Saccharomyces cerevisiae S288C: one gene and its partner. The gene in region 2 interacts genetically with the main gene of each other region. Each region holds a gene or a part of one and is shown on either strand. Other genes may lie near its edges. The genes, in order: UGA3 and CUS2.

What was found.
Region 1: mutations in CUS2 (region 2) and UGA3 together harm fitness more than expected from each alone (negative genetic interaction), as found in Saccharomyces cerevisiae (one large-scale study listed by BioGRID).

The regions. Positions count from the first base shown.
Region 1 is NC_001136.10:154,397-158,738, forward strand, and holds UGA3 (Uga3p), read left to right. Parts: upstream 1-1,921; coding exon 1,922-3,508; downstream 3,509-4,342. Other genes in the region: GLT1 (glutamate synthase (NADH)), read right to left, coding at 1-1,244; UGX2 (Ugx2p), read right to left, coding at 3,668-4,339. UniProt on the Saccharomyces cerevisiae protein: GABA-dependent positive regulation of genes required for catabolism of GABA (UGA4, UGA1, and UGA2).
Region 2 is NC_001146.8:93,563-96,767, reverse strand, and holds CUS2 (U2 snRNP complex subunit CUS2), read right to left. Parts: upstream 1,546-3,205; coding exon 688-1,545; downstream 1-687. Other genes in the region: SEC21 (coatomer subunit gamma), read right to left, coding at 1,967-3,205. UniProt on the Saccharomyces cerevisiae protein: U2 snRNP protein which helps to refold U2 into a structure favorable for its binding to SF3b and SF3a prior to spliceosome assembly. Mediates functional interactions between U2 RNA and PRP5.

The DNA of each region.
Region 1 (4,342 bases), on a different chromosome or scaffold from region 2:
TAATAACGACAAGGTCTTAAACCATTTCTATCCAATATAGCACCACAGTAACGTCCATCAGTGAAAGTTAACAAAGCTGGACCATCCCAAGGTTCCATCAGACATGCAGCCCAGTCGTACCATGCTTTTAGGTCAGAATCCATATCCTTATGATACGCTTCAGGAACCATCATCATAACAGCTTCAGGTAGAGATAATGTGCCATTAATAGTCAATAGTTCTAAAACGTTATCCAATGCAGCTGAATCAGAACCACCTTCTTCGATAATTGGGTATAGTTTGTCTAACTCATCTTTGAAAGTTGCTGAATTCATCACACCTTCTCTGGAGCGCATCCAATTCTTGTTACCTCTTAAGGTGTTAATTTCACCATTATGAGCTAGCCAACGTAAAGGTTGAGCTCTATCCCAAGAGGGGAAAGTATTAGTGGAAAATCTTGAATGGACCAACGCCATGTGGGATTTGAAATGCGCATTAGTCAAGTCGGGATAGTAGTTATACACTTGAGCTGGCGTCAATTGACCCTTGTAAACAATGGTGGTATTGTTTAGGGAACAAACATAGAACCAGTTTTCCAGTCCTATTTGAAGAGAGGCCTCCTTCCTTAAAAGATACAATTGAGTTCTAAATTTAGTTTCATTAAACTCCGGTTGTTTTTCATCATACAATGGAACCAATAATGGCTGTAGAATAGTAGGTTCACGAGATAATGCAACGTCTCCTAAAATAGTAGAATCTACGGGGACGTTTCTCCAACCTAATACGGATAAGTTGAAGGATGCAGCTAAATCCTCGAAAATCTTCTGACACTTAATTAAATTTTTCTTGTTATTTTTTTCGTTCTTCTTGAAGAAGACGTTACCTACGGCGTATTTGCCCATCTCAGGTATGTCTAGATCAAGATCTAACTTGAATTCTCTTTTCATAAATTCGTGAGGAATACCTAGCAGAATACCGGCACCGTCACCGTTCCCATCAGATGAGACGGCACCACGATGTGTCATATTCACTAAAAGATATCTAGCGTCAGTAACAATCTTGTGAGACTGTTCACCATGCTTATTTGCTACGAAACCGACACCACAAGCGTCATGTTCATAATCAGGGTCGTAAAGTCCTCGTTTGTCCGGAATCACATTTGCCCAAGATTTATGAAGATGGTGTTCATCGTTATAGTTTTGAATTGTCCCACCTTCGTAAGCTTCTTCCAATGGATCGAAATTGTCTGATTTCAACACTGGCATGCTTTCTTTTCTAATTCTTTTTCTAGTTCTTCAAAATAAATAAATGGCAAATAGATTAAGAAAAAAGAGAGAGTAGAAAGACAAAAATAAATAAAAAAAAACTGAAGCAGAAAAATAAATAAATAAGTTAAACGTTAATCACTACCTCAATGAGCTAAAAGAAGGGGAAGAAAGAGCAACTGAGAGTATCCGTCTGCGTAGTATAGGACTGAGATAGCAATTTCCTATCTTCCTATGATGTGGAGACGATTAGTTTGGTGTGTTATCAAGTAAGATATAAGAATTGATTAATTTGGTAAGAAATGAAACAATAGGACGAAAAATACAATAAGATAAGGAAGACCATCAGAACTTATGAATGACTAAGAAAAGCAGTTTATATTTTTTTTTTGGGCAATTTATTGCTTCTTTTTTTTACGTTTTGCGGGCATCACGTTCGTCGTGACATATGACTTGAAAAATGTGCAAAAGCTTATCGGAGCCAATCGGATTGACGCATTAAAACCGAAGTGTATTAGGACCAAATTTGCGCTGTATAGGGTTGAACGGTAGGGCTACCAGGGTCTGAGTCATCAAAGAAAAAGAAATTACAATAAGAGTCTTACTTAAGATGATATAGAATTGTTGTTATTGTTCATGTATGGATGCCAAGAAAACAAAGTTTTTTAAAGTGAGGTATGAATTATGGCGTGGAGAAGCTGAAATTGAAATATTCGAAGCATGGGTGTATTACTTGCAAGATCAGAAAGAAGAGATGCTCTGAAGATAAACCTGTGTGCCGGGACTGTCGTCGATTAAGTTTTCCCTGTATCTATATATCAGAATCTGTTGATAAGCAGTCTTTGAAAAAAATAAAGGCAGATATACAGCACCAGTTGATCAGCAAGAAAAGAAAGCATGCTCCTGACAGTGCTCAGAAAGCGGCCGTGGCCACCCGTACTCGACGGGTCGGTAGCGACGAACAGGATAACCAGGTATATTTGTCAAAACCGCTGGAAGATTGCATTTCTCAGAAGCTGGACTCTATGGGATTGCAGCTGTACAACTACTACAGGTCTCACCTTGCAAACATAATTTCCATCGCGCCCATGAACCAGAACTACTATCTGAACATTTTCTTGCCAATGGCCCACGAGAATGATGGTATATTGTTTGCTATTCTTGCTTGGTCAGCTAATCATTTGTCTATATCATCATCAAATGAGCTGCGAAAGGATGAAATATTTGTCAACTTGGCGAACAAGTATACATACATGTCGTTATCGCATCTAAAGACAAACGAGGGCTCAAGTGCCTGTGCTAAACTGGGGTTTCTATATTCACTAGCACAAATCCTAATCTTATGTGGTTCAGAGATATGTCAGGGTGATGTGAAATTTTGGAAGATATTATTGAATATAGGAAAAAATTTGATCGAAAACCATGTGGGCAAGGATGTCTCACGGATACTAACCACTACTACAGAAGAACCCTCCCTAGAGGAGAGGATAATCTTCCCCAATTTCAATTCCGTTGTTAAGTACTGGCTGATTGTGAATTTTATATATCATGATATTTTGAATTTCAATACAACGTCCTTCCCGATCGAACAATACGAGAAATTCTTCCAAAGGGATCAGAACTCTTTACCCAGCTCAGCCAACTTTATTGAGTCAATAGACTCGCCAATTGAGGAAATAGACCCTTTAATTGGCATCAACAAGCCTATTTTACTACTATTGGGACAAGTCACAAATTTGACGAGGTTTTTGCAGACTATGGAACAGGAAGAAATGCTAGAGCATGGCGATAAAATTTTGAGTTTGCAAGTCGAGATTTATAAATTACAACCTTCGCTTATGGCGCTGGAACATTTGGATGATGAAAAGAAATTTTACTATTTAGAACTATTCGAGATAATGAAAATTTCTACCTTAATGTTCTTTCAATTAACTTTATTAAAGATTGACAAAGATTCGCTGGAACTACAGATACTGAGAAACAAATTGGACTCGAAGCTAGACAAGGTCATCGGAACTTTTTTGGAAGGATCGTTATGCTTCCCACTTTTCATTTACGGTGTATGCATTCAGGTAGAAGATATGGAGAAAAAAATAGATTTGGAAGCCAAATTTGACGACATTTTAAAACGATATAAATGTTACAATTTCCAAAATGCTAGATTATTGATACGGAAAATTTGGCAAAACGAGGCTGATGGCATCAGTGAGCATGACCTGGTCCACATGATTGACGAATTAGATTACAATATTAATTTTGCCTGAGCAGCATATATTTTCTTTCCCCGCCCCCTGGGTGTCTTAAATTATTGTTTCACCACACAAACATATATATGTTCTTTTTTTTTTTTGTAGGACGTACGGATTCAAAAACAATTTATACCTATACAATGTAGAAATGCTAACGTTGAGACATAGAAGTAATTATTTAATTAACCATTTTAGGTGATTATTTTCAGGGGTGTCCGAGTCCACCTCTACAACATCCACCTGCCCGGTTTGATACCTGTAATCGCCTGTCTTGGAGTCCTCCACAAAGCTTATGCTTCTCTCAGATTTCCTGCGTGGCCTATCCATTATGGCTGCTCCTGCATACGACGTGCCAGTGCCGCCAATCATATCTATATCATGATTGCTTTCCCCGTCGCTTGTACTATCTTCATTCGAGTGGACGTCATGAGCCCATACAGATTTATACCGATTTGCTCTCGGAAATTCATGGCCATCTAGCACTTGTATTCTTTGGTAGTGATCACTATCATTATCCTCGTCACTCTCGTCCCTTTCACAAACGGGGCTTTCCCTTCTCTGCTTTGCAGTCCTTGTTAATTTAGTCTTAGACTTCATTTTAGCTCTTTTATTAGATTTTGTCTTTAATTTGCCCTTGATCTTCAAAATTAACTCATCAAAGTTGTCCTCGTGTGCATCATATACCACCTTATATGATTGTTGGTATTGTGTGGCGAATAAGTCCTGGTTCCAGGCAAAACCTTGACTTTGAGATACAGATATTTTAAAATTTGGCCTTATTTCTGCACTATATGTAAATACCGAACTGGTATTTGAGTATACAATAAGTTTCTCCTTATCCTCCATGAC
Region 2 (3,205 bases):
GAGGAATAATCGTAATATTAGTATGTAGAAATATAGATTCCATTTTGAGGATTCCTATATCCTCGAGGAGAACTTCTAGTATATTCTGTATACCTAATATTATAGCCTTTATCAACAATGGAATCCCAACAATTATCTCAACATTCACCCATTTCTCAAACACAGCTTCAGTATTGTCTGAGCTTCTCGTTTAACATTCCTTCTGCAATAGGTGCAATCACACTTAAACGTATACGAGGTGTACATTAATATACGATGTAAGCATTAGATTGTTACCATAGCAACACATGTCACTATTAATTACTCTCGTTCCAACATTATCGGAAGAGGTTTGGTTTATTCCAACAATTAGAATCGCAGTAGTGATTACCCTTTTAAGTAATCGCTGTGTTTCGGTGGTGATATAGTCGCCATCACTTATTACCTCGTCATTACAGTTACACCATCCAACACATGGGCGGTTAGTGTAGTGGTTATCATCCCACCCTTCCAAGGTGGGGACACGGGTTCGATTCTCGTACCGCTCAAATTTTTTGATGGCATTGCTTGCATTTTCAAGTATTATATCGACATTTATTTTGTACTGGGAAGTCATAAAGCCCTAATCCATTCTGTTTATTACATTGTGTTCACTTATTTTACTTAAGTACCAAAGATATGGGGGTAATACATTTTTTTACTGCAGTTCTATATAAGGTCATCTTCCACTTCGCTGTCCTCATTCTTGTCACTTGTGCTTGAAGTGTTCTCATCTCCAGAAATGAAAGCAAGCAACTTTTGCCCATCAAAATAACGTCCGGTCATGATTTTGCAACATTGCAATGCAACTTTATTGTTCTTAAAGACGACCGTCGCTTCCCCCTTATTGGGAGATACAGATATACTGTCTACTTGACCTATCTCTTCACAGCCTTCCAAAAGATCTTCCTGAATATCATTTATATCATCATTTGTGTATGATTTGTAAATATTGAATACGTTGGCAAATATCACCGTTCGATCAGCTTTTGCTAGGCTTTCATCGTCATTGTAATCTATTACTTCCCCCTCCCCTTCAGACTTCGCTTTTTTTAGCCTCTTTATTGGAGGCTCAGGTCCGTTGAACTCCTTTAAATCATTTTCTTTCCCGTGCATATTGTCACCTTCCTTGTTTTGAAATTGGGCTCTTTCGACCCTGATCTGTTTTCCCAGGAAGATCGACTCGTTCATCATTTCGATTGCTAATGTAACACTTTCTTCCTTGGAATAAGTGATCAAGGCATCCCCTTTGAAAGCGCCTTTATCATTCACATATAGCTTGCAAAGGGGTTCCCCATCTCGATTGGTTCTTATCATTCCATACTTGCAAAACTGCTCAGTGAGTCCTTCTTTCGTTGTTTTGTCTGTGGGAAGACCAGAAATATATATTGAAGTATTTTTTGAGGCATTATTATATTCAAGCTCTCTTTTCTGAAGATTACTCTCTTTTAACTGTTTCCTTCTAAGCAATTCTTCTTTTTTCAATTTTTTCAAATGACCTTTCAATTCCAATTCATCAGCATCCATCGCTGTCAAACAGTAATGTTGGTAACGGAATACAGTGAAAAGTGTAGTGCGTTCAAGGGTCTGCAGCCTTTTACAATATGCCTGGTCAGACTAGTGCTTTTTTTTTGTTTTTTTTCTTCTTCTTCTTTCATCAATTGCATAATGTCAACTTTTTTCTGCCCTGTTGTCCTGTTTCTTCCATTTCGTTTTCTCTTGTCAAACTATTATAGTATTTTTCTTTAAAAATTTTGTTTATACAAAGATTACATAATTTATTCTTCGTGTGGTGATGATCCGTCATATTCTATCCGTGATTTTTTTGGTTTATTATTGTTCTTGCTGTTCATTCCCTTATTTGCATGCACGCTTGCTAAAGCTGACGCATTTCTTTTAATACTATTGATAACAAAAGAAGGGATTAACTGAAATAAAATTTCACAGCTTACTGCATTAGACCATTCACCAGATCAGAGCATAATAAGCTGTCTTCACCTTTACCATGAACTTTCAAAGCAAGACCTTTCGAACTCTTGATCATCTTAATCTGTAGGGCTACTTTAGATCCAGTTAAAGCACTCTTACCAAATAATTTCAAGGTGTGGGAGTTTGAATCACTTGGAGCAAATTGGGTACTTTCCACCGGTAAGCAGCTACTGTTCAAAATAATCTTATCTACTACTTCTTGTATGGATAAATCTTCTTGAATGTTGAAAACAGCAACTTCTTCGCATGGCAACTCATCAAATGTAGCGGAGAAGTTACCAGTGAAAGAACTCTTAACATAATCACCAGCATTCAAGAAAATCGAGTCAATTTCATATTCATCTTGGAAACCTTCATCACCATCAAATGGCTCATTAGTGTCAGGGTTTATTTCTTTTGTAGTGAATGTTAAGTTGTTCAAGAAACCTTCCATTACAATTTCATCAAGTTTTTTGAATGCAACGTAACAAGCTGCTTCCTCGGATGGTAATAATCTGTCCACTTGTAGGGTGAATAGCTCTTCTAATTCAGCTTCATCAGAAATTTCAGGGGTACAGACTACAGAAACATTGTCTAGGGCAATATCCGTCAGAGTATTCGTAATATTAAATTGTAAAACAACATTGTCTTTGAAGAGATGTTTGACACCACGTACAACGAATTCTGCTTCTGGCTCAGTTAATGAGATAGCCCTAGAACTATTTACTAATTGACCAAATGGTTTAATTTGTTCAATGGATAGCAATTCGTCAGCGTACTTAGTAGCTAGTAGATCTTCTTGGTGGTCGTCCAAGTTTGGACCAGCAAATGAATTAGCGTCAGCTCTTTTTTCTGGAACACTCTCTGCCTCTGGTGTAGTATCCAAAGTGGTTTCAGACTTTTGATTGAAAATTTGTTCTTGCTTTCTCTTCAGATTTATTGCCTTCATTTCATCCTCAGTAAACTTACGAACTTGATTCACATCAAATGCAGTTGCAAATGAATCAGTATTTGAGGAAATGTAAGAACTTAATTTTGACTCTAATGATGGAATATCGTAAAAATATTTGGATTCGATTAGATTTTGTGCTATAACATCATCTTTATTCCTAGCCGAATCAATGAATTCTAGTGCAATGGTGGCTCTGTCTCTGACTTCATCGTCTTTATCATTAGCGATTCTCTTTAACAAACTTATGATTGACTCATATAAGGTAGG